Cricetulus griseus: one gene and its partners. The protein of the gene in region 1 purifies or fractionates together with the protein of each later gene. This does not show direct contact. Links are inferred from orthologs where the notes say so. Each region holds a gene or a part of one and is shown in the gene's direction. Other genes may lie near its edges. The genes, in order: Plekhm1, Vps33a and Vps39.

Region 1 (3,650 bases):
CTGGAGGCAGCCTTATAGAAAAGCTTATCTCCAGACCTTGAGACACTCCACACTCATTAAGAGCCTGTGGCTGCTCCTCACCCCGGCACTGTTGACCTTTGACTACGGTAGGCTGAGTCATGTATTACATTGTGAGGCTTGAAAAGACCAAAATGTTCTCTGGTCCTTTTAACAGGACCAGGGTTTGCTGACCTTGCCTTTGACTAATTTTTCTATCATCTAAATTTAATTTAAAAAAATTTTTGTGTATGAGTGTTTCCCCACTCATACATTCATATCTATACATACCATGTATGTGCCTGGTGCAGGGCACACACGCCAAAAGAGGGTGCCAGATCCCCTGGGACTGGAGCTAGAGGTGACCAAGCCACCATGTGGGTGTTGGGAATCAGACTTGGGTCCCTGCAAAAGTAGCCAGTGCTGTTAACCAGTGAGCCATTTCTCCATTTCTTGTTTTAAACTTTATACTCATACTGAATTGTGTCAGGCATTTAGCTAAGAAGCCAAATAGTGGCTGAATATTCACCCCAAGCTCTAACAGCTAAGTGTGGGACCCTTTGTCCTACATAGTCTGATCAATTGATTGTCAGGGCCCCATCTATTATTGCCTGGCTTTGTGACCTAACCAGCCACCCTCCACCTGTTGTAATGGGAGCTCTCCCAGTCTCCTGATAGGTCTGCTACTTTTCTGCCCATTGTGTCTTTTTCTCTAATAGTCCATTGTGCTGAAAATTTATCCTTTTTTTTTTTTTTTTTTTTTTCTGGAAAGTCTTCAGGGCCTAACCGAGACACCGTCCTTTCTAACCAGAAGTGATGGCCCCACCTCTCACTCCACCAATGATAGGACTGACCTTTATGTATTTCTTTCAGTGGCAGTTACCTGGGGCTGAGAGCATAGCTCAGTAGCGGAATGCTTGCCTAGCATATGCAAGGCCCTGGGTTTATTCCCCAGGAATTAGGGGTTGGGAGTTTAACAAATGTGTTGAGTTGGTAGATGTATCTGGTAGCTATGGCTCAACAGCTCAGTTTTTCTGTATTCCCTGAGATGGAATCTGTTGTGCTTAGGTATGTTTGTGTTTGCAGTACTTAATTACTGGTTCTTGCTAAGCAGTGGCTTGAACCACATCTCTGAGATTTGAGGTTGTTTCTTGAAACACATCTGCTCTGTCCTCCTCTAGACACATCGTCTCAGAGTTGGAGCATCTGGTCTTCATCAATACAGACGTAGGCCGCTGCCGGGCCTGGCTGCGGCTGGCCCTCAATGATGGTCTGATGGAGTGCTATCTGAAATTGCTCCTGCAGGAACCCACACGGTTGTGCGAGTACTATCAGCCCACGGCCCTGCTGCGAGATGCCGAAGAGGGCGAGTTTCTCCTGAGCTTCCTGCAAGGACTAACGTCCTTGTCCTTTGAACTCTCCTACAAGTCGGCCATCTTAAATGAATGGACACTCACCCCATTGTCTCTCTCTGGGCTTTGCCCCCTCTCTGAGCTTGACCCTCTCACTACCTCTGGGGCAGAATTACAACGGAAGGAGTCTCTGGATTCAATTTCCCATTCCTCAGGCTCTGAGGACATTGAAGTCCAGCACTCTGGCCATAAGATCCGCAGGAACAGGAAGCTCACTGCCTCTTCCCTCAGCCTGGATACAGCCAGTTCATCCCAGCTATCCTGCAGCCTAAACTCTGACAGCTGTCTGCTCCAAGAGAATGGCTCTAGGAGTCCAGACCGTTCTGAGGAACCCATGTCCTACGACTCAGATCTGGGCCCAGTGAATGCTGATGACTCTGACAGGTCTCTGCAAGAGTGAGTATCCTCCTCCAACCTTTGCTCTGCCTTCCTGTACAAATGATTGTCACTGTACTCTGGTGGTATATGAAGAAGTCAAAGGAGACAAGGGGCTTACTGTAACTGAGGAAATAGCTCAGTGGGGAGAACAAATTGCTTTGTTTTTTGAAATGGCTTCCCTCTGTAGTCTAGGCTATAGTACCTGGTTCTCCTGAGTGCTGGCATTAGAGGTGTGAGCATCACTCTCACCTGGAGAATAGATTTAGTACTCAGAGTTGGCCTGAGTCTTTGGCCTTTCTGAGGTCCACATAAAATATGAGTTTTCCATCTAGAGGGAAGGAACTTGTAGTTCAGAGTGCATATACAACTTCCAGCAAATATGGTGAAGTAGAGGGCATAGACTGTGACCTTTCATAACACCTGACAGACACAAAACCTGAGACAAATGGGGATCAGTGAGTGTATAGAGTATGTAAACAGACTCTCTTAACTCACTTTGCCAAAGGGGAGCATGAGGCTGAACTCCGCTCCATCTGCAGTTCTCAGTTGTCTGCATAAAGCTGCATCACCAGCCCTAGCCCTTTCTCTTCACACCCCCACACTCCCATGCAGTGCTGGGAGTTAAACCAGGGCCTTACATGAGCCACACAAGTTCTCTACCCCTGAACCACATTCCCAAGCCCCAATGCTTTTGGGTTTTATTTGATTTTGTTTATTTTGGTAAGACAGGGTCTCATACAGTAGCCCAGGCTGGCCCTGAACTCTTTGATCCTCTGCTTCCACCTCCTGAGTGCATATGCTTCCAAGTTCCTAAATGTATCTGTAGCAGAAACAGTGTGTTTTTATGTTATTATTTTTAATTTTCTTCCTGTTTCTTTGATTTCCTACAAAAGATAGCATATGTATATTGCTGGTGTGTCAGAGCCTCTTCATTCTCTTCTTATGTCTATTGTTCCACTCAGTAGACATTGAGTTCAGTCAACTCCTAGAAGCACTGATTTGTAGTTTCCACAACTGCTGTCTATTAACACTGTCAGGAATGTCCCCGTGATCTCTCAGTCTTACCAGTGGAAAGTATTGTCAGGGTTGTGGGTATTTGGTAGTTGTTTTGTTCCATAAAACTCATGTCTAGGACCTTTTCATTACTACTGTGCACCCTACATCCTTGGTTCAGGTCCTTCCAGGTTGCCACCTGGTATAGGATGGAATCAAACCCAGTGATATGTGGGCAGGGCTCACAGAAAACCTAGTTTCCAGGCCTACTCCAATCAAATTGCTGCTGACTCTTCTGAACCATTTCTCCATCTTTAAAATGAGATTTCTCACAGATCTGAGAGTCAAATCATTGTCTGTTCAGTGAGTGTACGCAAGGAGGTGCCAACATGATTGCCCCATGCTATGGCTAAGGGGAAGGTTTTTATTGTAAATAAAAGAGAATATCCAGAGGTATCTGGAAGAATTCAGAGCTGAGAGAGAAAGAAATAGACTGAACAAAGCCAGCAGACTGGACATAGCCAGGTCTACCTGTGAGAGAAGGGAGAATAATCAGACATAGAGAACAGAGAAAGCATAGTGAGAACAGCAGCAGCAGGGGTGGGGATGGGGCGGGGCACTTGTCCTTATGGAGAACAAATGGGCATCGGGAGGTGAGAAGGTCTAGGACGCTCTGTGGACTTTGGAATGTGTAATGTGTACTTTGATGCCGAGGGAGCCTGGAGGCCAGTGTGTGCTCTGATATGCAACTTCAAGTACATGTCCATGGAGCCATAGGTCCTTCTGCTGGAGGTCAGGGAAATGACTCCTTTTGGTAGATGCAAACTGGTTTTACAAGTTCCTGAGGAATACTGGCTTTTATCTAACCAC
Region 2 (3,650 bases), on another chromosome or scaffold:
TCTTAACCACTGAGCCATCTCTCCAGCCCGAATTTTTTGGTTTTTTTTTTTTTCTTTTTTTTTTGTCTCACTATGTAGCCCTGGCCCAGAACTCTTAAAGGAAAATAGTGAGATTTTGTAATTAAACCATTATATTTCTATAAGAGCAAATATCTTTCATATGGTGAAGACACTGCAGTTCATAGTATGAAGTAGTGCTGAGTCTGAGTCTCGGTGTTTGGGCAGCATTTGAGGCTGGAATGGTATGAGGACCCATACCCTCAAAGGCTCCATGTTGTGTTCATGGCCAAGGCTTCAGTAAGCACTGCCAGAAACGTGTTTCAGTTCATTTGTGGACAATGCATGTTCAGAAATTAACTTTTTGTGACCCCCATGTTCATTTACACAGTCTTGTATGGACTGTGACCCACACTTTAGGAGCTGGGCTAGGGCTGGAGAGATGGCTCAGCAATGGAGAGTGCTGTTCTTGCAGAGTTTAATTCCCAGCACTCACACTGAGTGGCTCAAATTCCAGAGCATCTAAGGCCCCCTTTCGGCCTTACATGGACACACCCACACATAGACACACACACACAAGTACACATAATTAAAAATAAATCTTTTTTCAAAAGAAGCTGTACTATAGTACATCTGTCTCATTCTAATACCTGCATATTCAAGAGGACCTAAGGGTTTCTTTCTTTAAAAATTTATTTATTTATTTACTTTTCTAGTACTAGGGATTAAACCCAGGGCCTTGATGATGCTGGACAGTGCTGTACCCTGGAGCTGCATCGCCAGCCTAGGCTTTCATCATTTTAAAACTTTTCCTCAGACCTGTAACAGCAGTCCTGTATTAAAGGTTCCTGTTCTTTTAGGAAATGTGAGAGCATGGGTGTTGACGTTTTCCTAAATGAGTTCCCATGACCTTCTCTTCTACCCTCTCCTCCTCCCTAGAGAATGCCAGCTGTACTCGACATGGACATGGAGTGTGCAGCTCCAGGGGAGCACTTGAGGTCTGGCCAGCATGGCAGTGGCCGGGAAGCCCACATGTGCGATAATGATAATGAGATCAAAATCCCCAGCCGCCCACAGCTTCATTACCACCTCCTGCCTCCCCTGGTCTTTAACCAGTTTGTTCTTGTTGAGCTGGTTTTGAAATGTGGGGATTCAGTAGACTTACGAAATGTCTGTTTAGACTCTAGAGACAGAAACAGGGAGAGTTCTTGAAAACTGCTTTTTGCTTTTGTTGTTGTGTTCCTGGTGTTACCTTTCTTAGGGATTCTACCTGTGGATTAGCTCCATATTCCTGTAGATTGTTTTGGATGATGTTATTAAAACATTCTTATTGGGGCTGGAGAGATGACTCAGAGGTTAAGAGCACTGACTGCTTTTCCAGAGGATCAGGGTTCAATTCCCAGCAACCACATGGTGGCTCATAACTGTCTGTAACTCCAGTTCCAGGGGACCCAACACCCATGGCAAAACCCCAATGCACCTAAAATATAAATAAATAAATAAATAAATAAATAAATAAATAAATAAATAAACAAACCGTTCTTGTCAATAGTCGAGGTTCACTGTATTCATGGGCTGCATTCACTGTTGAGATCTAATGCCAGGTGGGATTTGTTTCTGTTAAATAGAAAATTTTTTGCTGTTTGCTTTTGGTTTTTGAAATGGTCCCATGGCTAAAGATGACCTTAAACTTCTGATCCTTCTGTCTTCCGAGTGCTGGGGTTATAAGTCTGCTCTGGCTTGCCTGACCTAGACGTCTTCTGCTGTTTGTGGCTCCCTTTTGTGTAGCACTTTGTGTGTGTGTGTGTGTGTGTGTGTGTGTGTGTGTGTGTGTGTCCTGGGAGGGAGCTGCACCATGCCACTGTGCTTACCTTATCTGTGACTTCAGAGCTGGGTTTAACTTGCTTTGCATTTTCCCTTTCGTGATGATACTGACGGAACACCCTCTGGGATGCTCTCCTGCCTCATGGCGCTGCCGCCTGTTGTGTTCTGTTGCAGGAGAGGCACAACGCCAAGACAGTGGGGGAGATTAAGCAGTTCGTTTCCCAGCTGCCCCACATGCAGGCCGCCAGGGGCTCCCTCGCCAACCACACCTCAATTGCAGAATTAATCAAAGATGTCACCAGTAAGTACCCTTTGTTGTGGCTCTTCCCACCTGGGACTGGCTTGTGTATACATCATCCAACACCCTGATCGTCAGCACCTTGGTCCTTCCTTGGGAAGGCTCGCTGTGTTTGATCTATTTGTTTTATTATCTTAGTGCTAGGGTTCAAAGCAGGGCTTGTTGGTGTGAAGCAGTGTGAAGCAAGTGCCTGACCACTGAGCCACCCGCAGTCAGTTCCATTTTAGCGTCACGCATATGTCACAGGAGAAGTAAGTGTATGACTTTTTAAGGTAGTGGGCCCCGGTTCAGGTCCCAGCACCCCAGCTGGTGGCTCACAGCTGCCTATAACTCCTTCCAGGGATCCCACTGACCTCTGAGGGTACCTGCACTCATATGCACATACCCATGCACAGACACACCCAGGCGCACACAAAAAATCTCTAAAAAATGATTTATTAATCATGAGTTAAAGTACCTGAAATATGGATAAGAAAAAAGCATTCATCCAGAAGATTGCCCCAGTAATGATATGAAGCAGTTCATGTTTTCCTTATGTTTTCCTATGTGAAGGATTATTTAATTAGAACAGTATGCTGTCCTGGGGTGGTGCTGGGACTCTAGCTTTGGTCCCCTGAGCAGGGTACCCGTAATCCTAGCACTTGGAAGGCTGAGACAGGAAGACAATACATTCAAGGACAGCTTGAGCACATTGTGAGACTCGTAGACAAGAAAGAAAAGAGCCTGGGAATGTAGCTCGGTCAGTAGTGTACTTACCCACCCTGGTGGCGTGTGCTGTAACATCAGCACTGGGGCTGTTGCAGGCAGGAGGATCCCAAGCTCAGGGTCATTTTCAGTTCATAATGAGTTCAGGACCAGCCTGGGCTACACTAAACCTTCCCTCAAAAAACTAACTAAGCCAGTGCACATGCATTTAATCCCAGCAGTCAAGAGGCAGGCAGACTTCTGTTTTCAAGGCCAGCCTGATCTGCAGAGTGAGTTCCAGGACAGCCAGGGCTACACAGAGAAACCCTGTCTTAAAAAACAAAACAAAACAAAAACTTCCTACAGAATTGTCACAAAGAGCCTCATGAGATATGTATTAAATCCTGACTCAAGTCCATCTGACTGAAGTAGAAGCTGAGGCATGTGTTGAGCACTGAATGGTGTTTGTTCAGGACCAAGTGTTAACAAATATGCTTTGAATCTTAGTTCAGGGTTGGAAAAGTAGTCCTTTGTCTGCTGGTGACAAAGGTCAGAGTCAGATGACAGGAGGCTTGTCCTGGGGACATGAGTGCTCACTGACACTGAGACTCCTGCCCAGTGGCATCTGAAGCAAAGGACCTTGAAGGAGCAGTGAGCGTTGAGTACCACTCAGCGCTTTGGTTTCCTGGTTGCTCCAAGTCTCCACCTTTTTGGTTTAGTGTGCCTTGTTTGCTAATCCTGCTTATGACCAGAAGCATAGCACTCAAACCAGCTGACACTGGAATTTCTAAGTCAAAAATTTTCTGATTACATTTTAGCGTCTGAAGACTTCTTTGATAAGTTAACA
Region 3 (3,650 bases), on another chromosome or scaffold:
TTAAATTAATGTGGATTGGCCCATCTCGGGGAAAGGGTCTGATTATACATCAATTTGTCAGTACCACAAAACCTTTGTGATTGGTGTGACTGGGAGTTGGGTGGGAATCTGGGGGTATAGGCCAGAGATGCTGCCAAATGATGCAGTATAGAAGTGTCTTTGTTAAGAGTGCTAGGATGCGGGCTGGAGAGATGACTCAGAGGTTAAGAACACTGAATGCTCTCCCAGAGGACCTGGGTTTGATTCCCAGCACCCACATGGCAGTTCACAACTGTCTGTAGTTCCAGTTCCGTGGCAAAATACCAATGCTCATAAAAAATAAAAATTAAAAAAAAAAAAAAGAGTGCTAAGAGTGCTAGGATGGAGTGACCCAGTGCCACTAGAACCAGTCAGAAACATGGCCAGGCTCTCAGCCTCCAAAGCATAAGAAAATGAAGAATCTTTAGGTTATTTAGCAGTGTTAACTTTCTGTGAATGGTATAACGTTAAACAGATACAAGGCATTCATAGAAAAAGCAATAATTGGCATCCTCATTTGGCTGTTTGACTTTGCCAAAAAATTAAGGGGAAGGTGATGGATTTGGAGTGCTCCATGCCAGTGGTTGTTATTGACCAGCCCTCTCTAATCATCAGGGAAGCTCAGGGCTGGGGGTCCTAGGAAGGTTGCTGTTAACCCTGACATGCATGTTTGTATCTATGAAACAGGTATATCTGTCCCTGCTTCGGATGTACCTGTCACCCCCCAGCATCCACTGCCTGGGACCAATCAAACTGGAGCTACTGGAGCCACAGGCCAACCTCCAGGCTGCCCTGCAGGTCCTAGAGCTGCACTACAGCAAATTAGATACCACCAAGGTCAGGGGCCTGCCGATAGAGCAGGAGTGAGAAGAGGGCTGGGGAAGGGGATAGGCACAAGCTTTTCTTGGTCTCACTCCTGATCTTCCTAACCCATCTCCATCCTGTCACTGCCCCAGGCGATCAACCTTCTACCAGCAAACACTCAGATCAATGACATACGCATCTTTTTAGAAAAGGTCTTGGAAGAAAATGCACAGAAGAAACGGTTCAATCAAGTGCTCAAGAACCTTCTCCATGCCGAGTTCCTGAGAGTATGGGCCTTCCACACTTGTTGTGGGTCTTTGGGGTTTGTTTGGTTGGCTGGATGGTTGGTTGGTTGGGTTTTTTGAGACAGGGTTTCTCTGAGTGGCTGTCCTGAAACTCACTGTGTAGACCAGGCTATCCTTGAATTCACAGAGATCCACTTGTCTTTGTCTCCTGAGTTCTGGAATTAAAGGCCTGCACCACCATGCTCAGTGGGCTTTGAGTTTTAATTGAGACACTTTTCACATAATTGTTGTCATCAAGGAAGCACATAGCTCAGGTGATCTGGAAGTCAGAATGGCGTTTAGTAGAATCTATGGAAGCTGAAGAAGACACAAACAATGCCAACTTCTACTTCCGTTTCTACACCTTGACATGGAACTTCTCCCATCTCTTCCAGGTTCAGGAAGAACGGATTTTACACCAGCAGGTGAAGTGCATCATCACCGAGGAGAAGGTGTGCATGGTGTGCAAGAAGAAGATTGGGAACAGGTGAGCCCCTCCCGAGCAGCGTCTGGAGCAGATGGGTCCCGGAGAGTAGAGGTGTGGGGTAGATCTCTGCCCTGAGTTTCTTACCCTGTTGCCACAAAGGCAGCTTGAGGGAGGTTTATTCTGGCAGATCAAGGCAGGAGCTTGAGGCAGCTGGTTACATTGCATTCCGCAGCCAAGAAACTGAGAGCAGGGCCAGGCATGGTGGCGCACGCCTTCAATCCCGGTGCTCCGAAGGCAGAGGCAGGTGGATCTCTGTGAGTTCGAGACCAGCCTGGTCTACAGAGTGAGTTCCAGGACAGCCAGGACTGTTTCACAGAGAAACCCTGTCTTGAAAAACCAGAGAGAGAGAGAGAGAGAGAGAGAGAGAGAGAGAGAGAGAGAGAGAGAGAGAGAGAGAGAGAGAGAGAATGAGCAAGCGAGAGCGAGCAGTGAATGCTTCCTATTGCTCAGCTCTTCCTCTCCATTCTTCACAGTCCCTACCAAGGGAATAGTCCTACCCACAATCAAGATTGGTCTTCCCACATCGGTTAATGAAATCAAGATAATCCCCCACAGGAATGTCAGAGGCCCAGCTCCCAGGTGATTCTAGATTCTGTCACATGGACAGCACTGACCTCACACCCACCACAGATAGAAGCTGTCTTGTGTTATTGAGTTCTTGAGCTTTGAGAGAGCAAGCCATATTATCTGTTGGGGGGAATCTTCGATAGTTTAAAGAGCTGACATGGCACAGAGCTGTTGAACTCTGGCCCAGAAAGCTCTGTTCCTCAGGCAGCTAAAATGAACAGGAGCCAGAGAGTCAGCAGTAGGAGTTTAAGAGACATACAGAAAGTCTTGAGATGCGGGCTGGCTGGATAGCTCAGGCTAATTTGAAATTCTGATCATCCCTCCTGCCTCAGCCACACCCCAGTGCCAGGACTATAGGCCTGTACCCAGGTAGACAGGATGAGCGGCCCGAGGGAGAAAACCTGCTGTCTCATGACTGGAGCAACCTCCTGAGCTATTGTATTCTACAACAATCATTATTCTGTGTTAGGACATGCCTGAGAGTCAGCCCCCTGGCCTGGAAGGAGCAGAAGCTGCCTCTTCTTACTCAGCTAGAAGAGTTCTTTCTTTGCAGAGGCCTGACTTGCTGTCATTCATTACAACTAGCCCAAAACATGTTCCATTGAACATCATCCTCCAGTGCCAAGCTTTCTGTTTGCCCATTTATTTACCTGGCTGGCTGGTTGGTTGGTTAGTTGATAGCACTACTGAGGGTCACACTACCACTGACCCAAACCCCCAACCCTGAACTGATAGAGTAACAAAAATGTTTTAATGCACTTGAATGTTGTATAGTTCATGCTCTGGCTGTTTGGAAAGGAGGCACCACAGCATTCCAGAGATATTGGAGTAGGCTGTTCTTTGGGGTTTGGGTGGCTGCTGGTGCTGGTGCCTCTTGCAGGTGCTAGAGGAGACTATTCTATCACTCACCTCTAAACTATTCTTCCACACAGTGCATTTGCAAGATACCCAAATGGAGTGGTTGTGCACTACTTCTGTTCCAAAGAGGTCAACCCAGCCGACACCTGAGCACAGAATCCTAAGGACTCAGCAGTGGATAGCTCAACTTTCCCAGAGAGTTGAAGGAGCAGCCACATTAGGAACCAGGGACCTCTACCACCAAGTCTCCTCATTTGGACGTCACTGGCTTCCTTGCTCCCTGGATCATCTCTGAATTAACTGGATTTGTGACCTGGCATTGCTGGCTTTTTCCTAGAAAAAGATTAGTTATATCTTACACTGTTATGTTGCAGACGATCCCAGGAATTTAACCCCTCCTTGGACAGGAGGAAATGCACCGTCTTGCCTTTGTATGCCAGTCACCTGGACAAGATTTCATCTCAAGTGTTTGTACCCATGGGGTTGTTGACTGAGAGTTTTCTATTATGATATTTGCACAGCTTCACAAGACCCTCACCCTCAGCATGGCAGCCTGGAGAGTCCCATGGGAGCCTGGTACCAGAGCTCTACAGCCCCACTGACCAAATAGGCTCACTGTCTATACTGCCAGT

Evidence for each region.
Region 2: the proteins of Plekhm1 (region 1) and Vps33a purify together in Homo sapiens (affinity purification with western blotting; 3 studies listed by BioGRID and IntAct, with this or other methods). This does not show direct contact. The link is inferred for Cricetulus griseus from reciprocal best matches to the Homo sapiens genes PLEKHM1 and VPS33A.
Region 3: the proteins of Plekhm1 (region 1) and Vps39 purify together in Homo sapiens (co-immunoprecipitation; 3 studies listed by BioGRID and IntAct, with this or other methods). This does not show direct contact. The link is inferred for Cricetulus griseus from reciprocal best matches to the Homo sapiens genes PLEKHM1 and VPS39.

What each region holds. Positions count from the first base shown.
Region 1 is NC_048600.1:114,753,071-114,756,720, forward strand, and holds part of Plekhm1 (pleckstrin homology domain-containing family M member 1), read left to right. Parts: intron 1-1,178; coding exon 1,179-1,805; intron 1,806-3,650. UniProt on the Homo sapiens protein: Acts as a multivalent adapter protein that regulates Rab7-dependent and HOPS complex-dependent fusion events in the endolysosomal system and couples autophagic and the endocytic trafficking pathways.
Region 2 is NC_048597.1:103,299,557-103,303,206, reverse strand, and holds part of Vps33a (vacuolar protein sorting-associated protein 33A), read left to right. Parts: intron 1-1,995; coding exon 1,996-2,122; intron 2,123-3,621; coding exon 3,622-3,650.
Region 3 is NC_048599.1:58,178,010-58,181,659, forward strand, and holds part of Vps39 (vam6/Vps39-like protein), read left to right. Parts: intron 1-705; coding exon 706-855; intron 856-974; coding exon 975-1,109; intron 1,110-1,501; coding exon 1,502-1,593; intron 1,594-2,066; coding exon of another isoform or gene 2,067-2,124; exon of another isoform or gene 2,125-2,162; intron 2,163-3,092; coding exon 3,093-3,168; 3' UTR 3,169-3,650. UniProt on the Homo sapiens protein: Regulator of TGF-beta/activin signaling, inhibiting SMAD3- and activating SMAD2-dependent transcription.